Linked DNA regions of Drosophila melanogaster. The protein of the gene in region 2 interacts with the protein of the main gene of each other region in a pairwise test. Each region holds a gene or a part of one and is shown on either strand. Other genes may lie near its edges.

Region 1 (7,811 bases), on a different chromosome or scaffold from region 2:
ATGTTGTATTTTGTTTTATTTTATCGTCAGCAATTTAATAAGTTCACCGACAACCTTTACATTAATACTATTTCCCAGCAGTCGATACTTTTGTCGATTCGTTGTTTCTGGCGGAAATTCAAAATTCTCCGGAAAACTCATTAGACGAGCAACTTCCCGTGGCGTGAAATAGCGCAGTCTCACCTGGTGCAACAGGTCCAAGCGTTGCTGCAAAATCTTCTCCGACTTCGATGCATCCTGATTACTTGTGTCAATTTCCTTGACCAACTCGAAGATGCGGTGGGATTCGTCCTCCGAAAGCGGTGTGTATGCAGAGCCCGTGCCCTCGGTGTAATGGGTGTAGCCCTTTGTAAAGCACATGGATCTACTTTGAGCAGGATGTATTATGTCCATGACCAGCACTCTTTTGGTCAAGACATCGTCGGGCACCAGGAAATCGGGTGATACATTTTCCTCCACAATCTCGGCAATTTGTGAAAGACCCTGATTCTGGGCTATAGCACCCGGCATTTCTTCCCAGATCTTTCCACCGGCAAATGGAAAGTCTGCACCCTTGCGGGCGATGCAATAGTAGCGATATCGAGTATTTGGCACATTGAATTGCGTTGGCGTTAGAATAAACTCCCGCCAATGGAATCCCGACCGCTCCAGCGATTCAATAAACTGATTTCGCGCCTGTGAGCTCTCGAAACCCTTGACGTTTTCCATGAGTATGTACTCCAGTTCCTGGCACTCTGGGATCAGTCCACACAGATGAGTAAGTGCATCCGATCGCTTGTCTTCCGTGTCCCTTTGCAATCCCTGGCGAGTGTGGGGCTGACATGGCGGGGACATCAGCAGCATGTTGGCCTGAAGCTTTGTGACTTCCTTTACACTCAGGCTTTGAATATTCCTAGTTTTCACCAAATTACTGCCGTAATTGTGCGCATAAACCGCATTGGCCACGGTGTTGACATCCAAGGCGGCAACTATTTGTCCATCCAATTGGGCATCTTCAAAAGTATATATTAGTTTCGCATGTATCATGATCGACGAACTCACAATTAAAGGCATAATGCATGCCGCCAATGCCACTAAATAGTTCTAAGACCCGAAATACCATTTTAATTAAATATATTTTTGTTTACAAACTACACGTTGTGAGTGGCACGTTTTCCAACACTGCCCCACACAGCAGATTGTCTGCGTTTCCGTGTGATTGGTATAAGAAGAAGAATATCAACACGTGCCGCTCGCATTTTTGTGAATTCGTGATTCTCTCGGAATAATGATAAAAATTAAGCGAAAAACAGCCCCTCCGCCCGTGGAACAGGACTCGGACAGCGATTCCAGCTTTGACGAGGAGGAGCCACAGGATTTGGAAGTCCAGGAGGGGCCAGTCACTGATAGCAGCGATGAAGAAGCCGCCTCCAGCAGCAAAAAAACGGCCAAACAAGGGGAAGCCAGTGAGGATTTAAAGGAAGAGGATGATGACGACGATGAGGAGGAGAATGACGACGACGACGAAGAAGAGGATGATGACGACGACGACGACAAGAAGACACGAATTCCTGTTTTGAATCCCCTCAGCTGGATGCGCAACAAGGAGCAGCGTTTGGCGTTGTACAAAAAAATGAAGAAGGAGAAGCACAAGAAAAAAATGCAGGAGCGCCGTGCCCGACGGAAGGCTGGTGTACCCGCCAATCCTGGTCACACCATAGAGAGCCTGCGAGAGAAGGACCAAACAGAGGTGGCCAATCTGAACGATTCCGACAACGAGGAGTTGCAAAAGGAACTCCAACTGGACGATTTCAGCTCGTACTTCGAACGTTCGTACGAGCCAAAGGTGCTGATCACTTTTGCTGACAATCCGGTGACCAAGACGCGTAAGTTTGGACTGGAGCTTTCGCGCATATTCCCCAACGCCCTGGTTAAGATTCGCAACAAGTCGTCGGTGAAGAAGATATGCAAAAGCGCCGAGCGCGAGGAGTTCACAGACGTCGTGATCGTTAACGAAGATCGCAGAAAGCCCAATGGGCTGCTGGTCATTCATCTGCCCAATGGTCCCACTGCCCACTTCAAGCTGTCCAACGTGAAGCTCACCTCGGACATAAAGCGCGATCACAAGGAGATAACCAAGCACAGGCCCGAAGTGATCCTGAACAATTTTACCACACGTTTGGGTCTGACCGTGGGCCGCATGCTGGGTGCCCTCTTCCATCACGATCCCGAGTTCCGCGGCCGCCGAGCGGTGACGTTCCACAATCAGCGAGATTACATATTCTTCCGTCACCACCGCTACGAGTTCACCAAAGAGGGAAAACGCGTAAAGCTGCGCGAACTGGGGCCGCGGTTCACCCTGAAACTACGTTCCCTGCAGGAGGGCACATTCGACAGCAAGACCGGTGACTATGCCTGGATAATCAGCAACAAACGGCACGCCATGGAGTCGCGACGTCGCTTCTTCCTCTAGGTGTATTTCGAGGCATTGTATTTAGGTATAGAACTACTTAATAAACCAACAGTTAATACGAAAATAATAGCTTGATTGAAGAGAGAGGTGATAACCATTAGCGACCGCCGTATTGTTTTGTCGGTGATAAAATAAAATACAAATTTGCCTTAGCCTAAAAAATGTGCAACACTCAACAGTTAACCAATTGGCACACCACGAGACTATCGTGCTCCGTCAGCCACTACATGGTTGGGCACTGGGGACCGGGACCGCCGGCTGCTACGCCGGCAGTGGGATCGCCGAAGGGCAAGTCGCCGCCCGTCTCGGCCAGAATCTCTGGCGGCGGCTGGCCGTAGTCTTGCAGTTTGCGCATGTCGTCCAGCACGACGCGGAACTTCTCTCGCTTCACGGCGGCCGAATCCTCGGTCTTCTCGCTCTGTAAATGCCCCTCAATCACCTTGTACAGCTCCATCTGCTTCTGGTACCTGTATGTATTGGTTTCTCAATAAAAGTATCTTATTGCGAGTTGATTTCGAGCATACCTTTCCTTGTCCTCAGCGGAGAGCTTGGCGTCGTTCTCCTCGAGGTACTTGGGGTACTTCTCCAGCAGCTCCCGGATGCTGGGCAACAGAATCTCCGCCGAGAGCAGGCTCTGCATCATGCCCTCCATGAATGGTAGGAACATGTTTCCATCACCCTCGCCAGCCTGTCAAACGGGGATTGTTTAATGATTGAGCAAGGAGAATTCATATTTCATTTTCAGGATGCATACCCCTTCAAGATTCAGTGAACCAAACATGCTGGCTATGTCGTTCTCCGAGGCGGGAGCAGCCAGGTTCTCGGAGCCCTCTTGCAGACCCTTGAGAGCCTGGGAAATGCTATCAGAATACTTGGAGACATCCTCGTCGGTGGCCGAATTTTCGCCGCTCAAGGTGAGCGCTGCCGCTTCGGCCATCTTTTTGAAACCGGCCATGATCTGGTCGGGATCCTGGGGCAGCGGCGGAATATCGCCACTGGGCGTGTCCGGACCTCCGAAGAGCGTGTTCATGCGATCGGCCAGCACCTTGGCCTGCTCACTGAAGGCGGATAACAGGTCAGAATACAAAGTTCAAGTGCCGCGTTGCACTGGCGCATTGACTCACATGAAAAACGCATCTGGATCCTCGGAGCCCTCAGGTCCAGCGTTGGTCGCCACATCCGATGATGCGGACGGCTCCTTTTGGTCACCGGCACCACTTTTATCGAAATCCTGGAGAGCACCTGTGCGAAAAGTGGACGACGCAGTGCGCATTATGTAAGGGGTCGAGAAGGGATCGCCAAAGGCATTTCCGGGCTGTACTCACTGTCCAGCAAGTCGTTTAATTCATCGCCATTCTTCTTTTCTTCGGACATTGTGCAATTTCGGGATGCTTTTCCTTGATTTCGTGGTGGGTGGGAAATGGTAAAAAATAAAGACTGACTGAATCAATCAGTGGGACCGTTCATCTGCTGCTGGTGCATACCGCAGTCAGCTGAACAGGTGTGGCTACACTGACTCACATCTTAGTGCGACCGCATTCGTAACGGCTTTTTAAAAGGATGCGAAATGATAAGAAAAAAATTTAAAAATTAACTTTTCTATATAATTGTTGGTTTTAATTTTAAGATTTCAGTTTCGGTTAGGGCTTAGACAAAATTCATATTACTTAAACAACTTTTAAATGCATTTAATGTTTTTTTTAAGAAAAATAGCTATATTTTGTTTAATTTTTAGTAAATATATTCCTTAAATTAAGAATTCTTATTTGTTACTATTATATAAAGTTCAAAACAAGTTCAGAATACCTATTTCGAAATAATCTGGAATGCATTATTATTGTGGACTACACATAAGTGTGAAAATGTCTAGCCATTTAATTCATATAACATATATTTATTGTCAATGAAAATTTCGAGTTTTGATTTAGAAAATTATATGTCTTACAACAACAAGTCATCAGTACACCCATCTACAATATAATAGTGTACATATTTAAATCTAGGCCTACATCAGACTAATAAACTTAAATTCGAAGCACCTCAATATCCCTCCTGTCTTGAGAGACAAACCAAGGACATTAGTCGAAGATTATCTAAAATAATCACCCAAAATATTTACGCATCTTCTGCGAAACTCTCAGCCAATCTCCCCGGGAATGGCACCTCGCTGTGCGCGGACGGAGATCGGCGACCAAACTGCGACCAGAGCCCAAACCGCACATACTGAGTGGTGAGGGAGGGGTCGCAAAACCATCAAGGTCACGGCGCGACGCTGATGCGCGACCAATTCCGAAACCAGAACGTCACACCCATGGACGGGACACATGGATTTTGCAGTAGGGCGTCCAGCTCTAGGTCCACTCCCGCCCGAAGGTCACCGCTGCGGAGGAACCCCGCTTGGTTTCCTCAATTCCGCTCATATGGTCAAATGGCTGGGCTGGGATGGGCTGTGCTCTTTGCGACTTTAACCGCACGGTTTACCAGAAGAGCAAAACGAATCTTCGATTCGGTACGCCCACGCAGCGAAGTATTGTGGTAAATTTGTGTTTTTTCCTCTATTTCCACTATTGGGGCGGAGTTTTCTTCGGTCAGTCGGTTCTCTGAAAATGTCAGCATGGGCGGAGCTTCGACTGAAATAATGCATAATTTGGTGTTTTATTTTGCGGCTTAGGGTGGAACAAACCGCCTGAAACTCTTACATTTCCTACAGAAACAGGGTAATTTGACTTTTTATGGGCTGTAATCCATTTACAGAATATGCATACATATAACATCAAAAATTTCCCTAAAAACCATAACTCTCTTTTTAGGGAAAAATTTCATTCTCTATTCGCTGCGAACATCAGAGTATATAGTTCAACTTCAAATTTCTTAGAACCCAAGCAGTTCAGTTCAAAAAGTCAAGACAACCGTCAAAAAGTCAAAACAAAAGTCGAAAACGTAAAAACCCCTTCGTTGGCCAAAACAATGGTTTTTGGGTCACACTCACACCCGATCCCAATAAACCAAGAAACTCGCTCTTTTTTGACATAATTTTTAAGGCACCAACAGGCGCGTCATAAAGTTGTTTATTCCGATATAATCGGTTTGCTAGACTAGCTGAATTTACCTGAATCTCCAGCTCTATTTCCCCAGAAGAGGAAGGATTCCAACCGTCATAAAATGCCCATCAGCGTCTTCACAAGCATCTACACTTCCCTTCCTTTTTGCAGGAACTTTGCCAGGATACGATCCTGTACATCCTTTTCATATGCTGACTGCGATTTCACGCTCGCTGATCGCATCGCTATTTTTTTCAACATTTCCGCATCCTTCCAGCGAAAGATGCTCGATTTTACGATGCACTGAACAGGATATAATGGATTTCGCGATTGTTCGGTAATGACGATGATTGCGACTTTATAGACACATTATTTATATTGTGGCTGGTGTCGTGTGGCTATGGTAATAAAGTGTAAATAATAAGTATATATAAAGGAGTAAATAAATTAAGACACTAAATATATGTAATATATATGTAATATAAAAGGAATAAAAGTTCTTTAAAATAAAAAAATTATACTAATTAAATTAAACTCTGATTCTAGAAATCTGAATGTTACATTACATTCAAAATAACTTGTAGCTTTAGTACACCTTGTATTAATCATTCAAGTATCACAAAATATAAGATATTTATATATGTTTCGACATATTTTTGTGTCTGGCCAGGATGGCATTATCTTTTGATATTTTGGCCATGGTAATTGCGATTACAAGGCTCCCAGTCATTCCTGGAAAACGCTCACTTTTCCTTTGAAATCCTGCCCCGAAAAGAAGAACTGGAGAAGTCAACTGCTGGCAGCTTCCCGAAAGACAAGACACCCACATCCACCATCCAACATACAACATCCACCATCAACCATTGCGCAATGGGGCGAGCTCTTCATGCTCCGACACCCATCGCTCTCCATCAAAGTGGCCATGCAAATGAGCCCTTGCGTCTGCCATACGTTTTCCTCTAGAGGATTGGGTCGAAGGGTAGCCGACTCCAGATGATGTGGGTTGCTCTGTCTGTGCCCCCCCAGTCGCTGTTCTGTTTGATTAAGCGGAAATTAAGTGTGCGTTTCGGTTGCAGCCTCCCAATTCGCCATGCCCTGCTTTTTTTTTATCGTGAACTGCAGCACATATATGTTTTATGTTTCCCAATCGATTTGGTGGCTCAAGAGCTGCTTTTGGCTTCCTCAGGTCAAATAGTTTTTATTACAGTGGTTAGGAATTACTCCCAATTAAGTTTCATAGAAATTATAGATTGCTAAAACATAAAACCACTTCTAAGTAGGACATCATGAGAAACTTTTTAAGCTCTTCGCATAAAACTGAAGATTCTTTCCCACTAATGTATAAATAATCACGGTCTCTGCAGTCAATTTTTCCATTGGCAATGCATTTTTTTTAATAGAAAACGCCGACCGTAGCCAGTGATTAATGAAACAATTGAATGATTTTATTTAAATTCGCATATATCCGATGCAAACCGTGGCTAATGGACAAACGCCGCCGAAGAGAAGATCCAACATCTCCAAATCGAGATTCCATAGAAACACTCGGGATGTGAGAAAAACGCCACCTACTTTGTGGACTCTACGCCGAGAAAACTAATGATGTTCTTTCGCCATCCATCGAGTTTGTCCATTATAGTAGAGTATATGATCGATCCGCGATCGAACCTGATCGACTACCACAAAGCAGGGCAATTACAAATCGGGGAACTGGACAACAGGTTGCCGGCTGAGTTGGGAAATATGGATGTGGATGTGGCTCTGTGACTCTGGATGGAGATGGAACCCGGCCGGAAAACAAATTAATCTTGTTGACGTCGCAGCCTCGTCACTTTCTTCGCCAGGTCGAGGGCCCAGGTGTTTGATCTCGACCTGATGCTCCGATGCTACGATCTTCTGTTGGACAACGATGGGTTGCGCCTACATTTGCGCCTTCTGTTTAATGATCAATTTGTTGGCCTCCGTCGCCGTCTCTCAGATGTGTGCCGACAGCGTTTAGCAGTCGATTGGGCTCGGGATTGGTTTGTTTGTGCCCCGAGTTGCCGGGTTTGTTGTGCCCCAGGCTAATGAGTTTCTCGAAAGTGGGTGTATGTGGCAGGGGCTCCCCTTTTTGCCCCTGGGACACTTCCTACATGATCGGCGAAAATTCAGCCAGACTCTGTGACGTCCCAATACACAGGAAGATAATCCCTTTCAACTAACTAACTATTTATTATTTAATTTATAGCTTCTTCATTCTTATACATTTAGGTACTGAAAAATATATATTCTTAAGCAATAATTATACAGAATATGAATATTTCTTTGCATGAACAACA
Region 2 (7,205 bases):
GGGACTGGTCATGTGATCACCAGTACCGGACAAGGAGTTACTTTGGGAGGAGTGGGCGCCAGTACTGGAGCCAGTTCCTCGCCCATGCTCAAGAAGCGGGTTCGCAAGTTCTCCAAGGTAGAAGAGGATCACGATGCATTTACCGAGAAGTTGCTGACGCACATCCGCCAAATGCAGCCGCTTCAAGTTCTGGAGCCGCATCTCAATCGCAACTTTCACTTTCTTATCGGGAGCAACGAGACTTCTGGAGGTGGTTCGCCCGCCTCAATGAGTTCTGCGGCTTCTGCCGGATCATCATCGGCTGGAGGAGGAAAGCTGAAGGGCGGATCTCGAGGCTGGCCACTGAGCAGGCATTTGGAAGGTCTGGAGGACTGTGATGGCACCGTTCTCGGCCGCTATGGTCGAGTGAATCTGCCAGGGATACCCTCGTTGTACGATAGCGAACGCTTTGGCGGAAGTAGAGGTCTAGTTGGTGGATCTGCACGAACCCGTTCACCCTCGCCAGCAGAGTCTCCGGGAGCAGAAAAGATGCTACCAATGTCTAGCATCCAAAATGATTTTTATGACCAGGAGTTCTCCACGCATATGGAGCGCAATCCTAGGGAACGCCTGGTGCGGCACATTGGAGCCGTCAAGGATTGCAATTTGGAGACCGTAGACCTGGTGGAGAGCGAGGGCGTAGCTGCGTGGGCGACTCTTCCACGACTTACCCGCTATCCGGGTCTAATACTGCTCAATGGAAACAGCCGTTGCCATGGACGGATGTCGCCGGTCGCACTGCCGGAGGATCCGCTGACCATGCGCTTTCCCGTGTCTCCACTGCTTCGATCCTGCGGCGAAGAGCTGCGCAAGACACAGCAGATGGAGCTGGGAATGGGACCGCTGGGCAATAATAATAATAACAATTACCAGCAGAAGAACCAGAATGTGATACTCGCACTGCCCGCCTCGGCATCGGAGAACATAGCCGGCGTGCTGCGGGATCTGGCCAATCTACTGCACTTGGCGCCCGCCCTTACCTGCAAGATCATCGAGGACAAGATTGGCAACAAGTTGGAGGACCAGTTTATGAATCAGGACGATGAAAAGCACGTCGACTTCAAGCGACCACTGAGTCAAGTGAGTCACGGTCATCTGAGGAAGATCCTCAACGGGCGTCGTAAGCTCTGCCGCAGCTGCGGAAATGTGGTTCACGCCACTGGGCTGCGAGTTCCTCGGCACAGTGTTCCTGCCCTAGAAGAGCAACTCCCCCGGTTGGCTCAACTGATGGACATGCTGCCAAGAAAATCGGTTCCCCCTCCTTTTGTGTACTTCTGCGATCGCGCCTGCTTTGCGAGATTCAAGTGGAATGGAAAGGATGGCCAGGCGGAGGCGGCTAGTCTGCTGCTTCAGCCAGCCGGCGGTTCTGCTGTAAAATCATCCAACGGAGACTCGCCTGGCAGCTTCTGCGCCAGCTCAACTGCCCCAGCGGAAATGGTGGTCAAACAAGAACCGGAGGACGAGGATGAGAAAACGCCGAGCGTACCGGGCAACCCCACAAATATCCCCGCACAGCGCAAATGCATTGTGAAGTGTTTTAGTGCTGATTGCTTCACCACGGACTCGGCGCCATCCGGACTGGAGCTCGACGGAACTGCTGGTGCCGGAACTGGGGCTGGACCGGTCAATAATACTGTGTGGGAAACAGAGACCAGTGGGCTGCAGTTGGAGGACACGCGGCAGTGTGTCTTCTGCAATCAGCGTGGTGACGGCCAGGCAGATGGACCCTCGCGACTGCTTAACTTCGATGTGGATAAATGGGTAAGTAGAAAGTGTAACCCTAATGATTGATTGCATCACAGCTTAATGTACACTTTCACATACAGGTTCACCTTAACTGCGCCCTGTGGTCCAACGGCGTGTACGAGACGGTGTCTGGGGCGCTGATGAACTTCCAGACAGCTCTGCAAGCGGGACTGAGCCAGGCGTGTAGCGCTTGTCACCAACCAGGCGCCACCATCAAGTGTTTCAAGTCGCGCTGCAACAGCCTGTACCACCTGCCATGCGCCATTCGCGAGGAGTGCGTCTTTTACAAGAACAAGTCCGTGCACTGCAGCGTTCATGGTCATGCTCATGCCGGCATCACGATGGGTGCAGGAGCAGGCGCCACGACTGGCGCCGGATTAGGAGGCTCTGTGGCAGATAATGAACTGAGCTCCCTGGTTGTCCACCGGAGAGTTTTTGTCGATCGGGATGAAAACCGTCAGGTGGCCACCGTCATGCACTATTCAGAGCTAAGCAACCTGCTCCGTGTGGGCAACATGACGTTCCTGAACGTGGGTCAGTTACTGCCGCATCAGCTGGAGGCCTTCCACACACCCCACTACATCTACCCCATTGGCTACAAGGTGGTAAGTACAAGTACCAGCCGGTCGGCCGCCATGTTTATGAACAGCAATCTTAAATCCCGTTCCTCTTCCTCCCCCATAGAGTCGCTACTACTGGTGCGTGCGACGACCCAATCGTAGGTGTCGATACATTTGCAGTATCGCAGAGGCCGGATGCAAGCCCGAGTTTCGCATCCAGGTGCAGGACGCCGGCGACAAGGAGCCGGAGCGCGAGTTTCGGGGCAGTTCGCCCTCGGCGGTCTGGCAGCAGATTCTGCAGCCAATCACGCGACTGCGTAAGGTGCACAAGTGGTTGCAGCTCTTTCCCCAGCACATCAGTGGTGAGGACCTATTTGGCCTAACGGAACCGGCCATTGTGCGAATCCTGGAAAGCCTCCCGGGCATTGAGACGCTCACTGACTACCGCTTCAAGTACGGTCGCAACCCGCTTCTTGAGTTCCCGCTAGCCATCAATCCGTCTGGAGCGGCGCGTACGGAACCCAAGCAACGACAGCTGCTCGTCTGGAGGAAGCCGCATACGCAACGCACGGCCGGCAGCTGCAGCACGCAGCGGATGGCCAACTCGGCTGCGATTGCCGGAGAAGTGGCCTGCCCGTACAGCAAGCAGTTCGTGCATTCGAAGAGCTCCCAGTACAAAAAGATGAAGCAGGAGTGGCGCAACAACGTCTACTTGGCGAGGTGAGACATTAGGTCCTAGTCAATAACCACTGATTACTTAAGCTCTCATTTTCTAGATCTAAGATCCAGGGTCTTGGCTTGTATGCAGCTCGGGACATTGAAAAGCACACCATGATAATCGAGTACATTGGCGAGGTTATCCGCACCGAGGTCTCCGAGATACGCGAGAAGCAGTACGAGTCCAAGGTGGGTTTCGCGACCATGTTTTCTTGTAACTTTGACTAATCTCTGATTCCCCAGAACCGTGGCATCTACATGTTCCGGCTGGATGAAGACCGCGTGGTGGACGCCACTCTAAGCGGCGGGTTGGCGCGCTACATCAACCATTCGTGCAATCCCAACTGTGTTACCGAGATAGTGGAGGTCGATCGCGACGTGCGGATCATAATATTCGCCAAGCGGAAGATCTATCGCGGCGAGGAGGTGGGTCCCGCAAATAGAAGTGTTTCGCCTGTACCTTAACTCACAATATCTCTTAAATTCTGTGCTTTAGCTCTCGTACGACTACAAGTTCGACATTGAGGACGAGTCGCACAAGATACCGTGCGCCTGTGGAGCGCCCAACTGTCGCAAGTGGATGAACTAGAGTCGGGAGGAGCCTCTAGCGGAGGACCAAAGGAAGCGCAAGAAGCGGCGGCGAGCACGTCGCTCCCAGTGAACAGGAACAGGAGTAGAGACAGGAACAGGAACAGGACTTGTATCTGATCAAGTAGCTAGATTCGCTAAGCATTATAGTTCGTGTACATTTATATATATATATATATATATATATATATATTTATATATATATAGTTTATATGCTATATGCAGATATGCTCGTGGAGAGCATATGACCTTGTAAGTTTTGTATATGTGCCCACTGTAGCCAATTCGTATCCTTTATATCGCTCTTAAGTGCAAAAGTGGAGAGTGTCTTCATAGTTTAAATTGAATAATTGCTATCGTTTCTACATAGAAAGAATATAAATGTTACTGCTAGGACACGACCACCCCTGTAATGTATTTCGGACCCCCTCTCCTCACACAGTCGCTGGAGCACCTAATTTTATTTGTTTTAGCACCATCTCCACATTCATCACTACCACCATTGCAATTATCGCGAGGAAACTGACCGCCCCGATGGCCAACCCAAAACTTGACTTTATGCGTGTGTGCCTTCCCCTCTGTTTACCATTATTATTATTATCATAATTGTAGCGGTTATCTTTCAATATTCGGCCACTTTACATGGGGAGCGATCCTTCTTTCGCTGCGTGTATCGTGCGCAACCTTCTTTGAATATATACACTGATAAGGATATGAACACCTACTTCTATTTTATTTTATTTAAATAGTTTGCGATTACTTTTAAGTACATTAACTAACTCCGAACAACGTGTATTTTTCATCCCCTTAAATAGTAGCTAAGTAAATTTTATGCCACCATTTTACGCACGTGATCTTTTATTCCAACTTATTGCAAACGGCAAACTGGAAATTACGAAATGGGGACGACAGATATTGCACCTAAGATCTTCGCTTGGCCAGCGCCAGAAGCCTCTGGAGCTGGACTGCGGCAGCCAGGGTGAGTATGTCGAAGTTCTTCAGGTACCAGGAGATGTTGTACATGATGTGGATGCGCCAGTTCTTGTCGAGGAACGCTTTGTAGAAGTGGCTCATCTGGTCCGCGGACACTTCGCTGGTTCCGCTTTCCTTGTGCAGGCGGATGAAGTCTTCCTTTTCCTGTAAACGAACCAATTCGAAAGAGACGACATTAGCGGACTAGAAAGAGATGGCACAGTGGTCGTGGTTGTACCTCGTAGAAGCGCTTATTGTGTTTTGTCCAGAAGTCCGTGTTCCATGCCTCCACCTCGATCCGCTTAAGACGCAGGCTTCTTGCCAGCCGCGTCTCCTCATCGCCGTAGTGCCGTACGTACGGACGTAGGTTTGATTGCGCGTCTGGCGGTCCTATATAGTCGCACTTCACCGTCTTGGGATCGGGCTTGTGTGGCAAACCGACGACGGGTTTTTCTTGTGGCGGTGGACATCCCGGCTGCACTGCGGCATAGCACCGCGGTAGCTGTGTAAACAAGAAATTGAAAATCCGAATCCTATAAGGCAACACACTCATGGACTCACGCTGAACTGGAAAAGCGATATCCGGGGCTGGCACCTAAAACATTTGTTCATTTTTCGGTTATGTTATGTGAGGTGCAGTGTGGCCGACTGTCACGCTAGGCAACAGATTAAATATTGATGCCAGCAAATATTACGGGCATTCGCATGCGATTCTCGACTGAATATCTGGAGTTCAGAAACCAGTAGCCAGTAGCCAGCCAGCTGATACATGTCGACAAAATCAAGAAACAGTTTCTTTTTCCAAAATGGTCGCATATTGCATGTTTCCAGTCGCAATTGAACCAATAGGAATGCAGCCTTGTGAACAGTTAGACCAAAGCTTAAGCAAGAGTATCAGAAGAGATGTGAACCCCTCTTGTTTCCCTGTTCGTGACACGCAATCGGCACGTCATGCTCGAGCAAATACCAAAATCCCTAGTAATTTGCTTGCGTTGTGAAAATAAAACGATATACATGCACATCTCTAAAAACAACGTAGAAACAGAGGCTAGTACACTTTCTGTTTATTATGCTCGCCTCATGATTGCAACAAGAAATCTACTGTCGCAATTCGATGCTTCAAAATTATTTCGGTCAAAATGGGCAAGATTATCGACTGTAGACACCAGGCGAACAGAAAACGTTGGAGTACGACCGCTGATCGCTCTGAGAAATTAAACAGCCGTTCATTGTCAGAAGGGGTCAACTCTGGCCAATCAACATTAAGCACTATGGGAAAGAACCGTTCGATTAAGTCCAGTCAACGCCTAGAGATACGTAAACCATTTGTTTCATTGTTCGTGTCACGAATTAGGCACGACATATGCGAATAAGCCAAAATTTCCCATGCTATTCCATTGGTACGTAAAAATAAAACGAGGCACGGGCACATCCCTAAAAACTAAGTGGAAACTTAGCTTTGGACTTTTGCAGTGGATTATGTTCGCCTAGTGTTTTGAGCTAAAAAGTGTTTTCGTAATTACAAAAACGTACGTATGTACTGAATTCCCCTATTAAGTTTTTTTTTTTATATCGTATTTGAACTGAGACCTATCGTTCTCTTCTAACCACCTCTATCGTTTATAGCTATCCCGTGACAATAAATCCAACTGGAAAAAACAAACGGAAAAACTCCGGGGAAAATTCCAGGGAAAATGTCACCCAAAAACAATCATGATCCCTCGTCGTCCGGCGACTCTGGCAACACCAATGTCCAGGAGGCGGACCTCCAAGGTGAGTTTTGACAGCGCCCCGTTTCTGCTCGGGATTGGCTCTAATGGAATGACCCCTACAGAGATGGAGGACGTGAACAACAGTCTGGACGCTCTCAGCTGTGCCCTGGACGCCGTGGAGCAGCGCACAGACGACATTATGTCCCAACTACGGGAGCTGCTGAACTCCAACCGAGAGATCCGTCGCCTGATTGCCGAGGAAAATGACAACGCTCCCGAATCGGGAGATGACAACATGGACGGGCAGGCGGGCAGCGAAGCGGCACCCAAGTAGATCCCTCTACGAGAAGTTATTGTTTTGTTCATCCAAATCGTTTTTAGGCACAATCAGTGCTGTTTTTTTTCTATTATCATGTATTTTTGTCCTAAGTCCTAAGTAAACGTAATTGAAAGCAAGCTTAAGGTTCACTATGTCTTCCGCGCTTTCTTGCGCTTTGTCTTCTCTGTGATTTCAGCCTGGCCATTGGTATCGCTAGTAATATACTTGAAAGCTATCTGGAACAAGCGCATTGACTGCGCTTTGAGGCGCGCATTCTCGGCCTGCAGCTCTTGCACTCTTTCGTCGCTTGTCTGTGCTGAGTCTGGCTGATATTCTGCATACGATTTTTCGGACTCAGCTTCCTTGGAGGCGGTTTCCATTGGCTCGGATTCAGGTTCTTCTTCTTCGACCTCGGAATCCTCGACATCTGTAGCTTTGGTTTCCGCCTCAATTCCTTCGTCGTCCTCGTTCTTTCCCGAACTCATGGACGCTATAAGTTTGAGTATTATCTCCTCATCCGTACCCGGATGACTTTGGGTGTAGTCCAGCTCC

The links. Proteins that work in one complex are often made in the same cells at the same time.
Region 1: the proteins of Coa8 (region 2) and Pex19 interact in a two-hybrid assay, tested with the Drosophila melanogaster proteins (one large-scale study listed by BioGRID).

The regions. Positions count from the first base shown.
Region 1 is NT_033779.5:12,089,877-12,097,687, reverse strand, and holds Pex19 (peroxin 19), read right to left. Parts: upstream 5,867-7,811; 5' UTR 5,562-5,866; exon of another isoform or gene 5,330-5,561; intron 4,001-5,329; 5' UTR 3,827-4,000; coding exon 3,778-3,826; intron 3,695-3,777; coding exon 3,577-3,694; intron 3,511-3,576; coding exon 3,207-3,510; intron 3,141-3,206; coding exon 2,977-3,140; intron 2,920-2,976; coding exon 2,676-2,919; 3' UTR 2,453-2,675; downstream 1-2,452. Other genes in the region: Mt2 (methyltransferase 2), read right to left, coding at 16-992, 1,042-1,102; CG6712 (uncharacterized protein), read left to right, coding at 1,268-2,452.
Region 2 is NC_004354.4:1,878,602-1,885,806, reverse strand, and holds Coa8 (cytochrome c oxidase assembly factor 8), read right to left. Parts: upstream 5,526-7,205; 5' UTR 5,235-5,525; coding exon 5,184-5,234; intron 5,125-5,183; coding exon 4,861-5,124; intron 4,788-4,860; coding exon 4,572-4,787; 3' UTR 4,375-4,571; downstream 1-4,374. Other genes in the region: trr (trithorax-related), read left to right, coding at 1-1,800, 1,866-2,390, 2,470-3,065, 3,122-3,251, 3,306-3,488, 3,559-3,651; CG14818 (uncharacterized protein), read left to right, coding at 6,317-6,395, 6,457-6,668; CG14805 (uncharacterized protein), read right to left, coding at 6,803-7,205.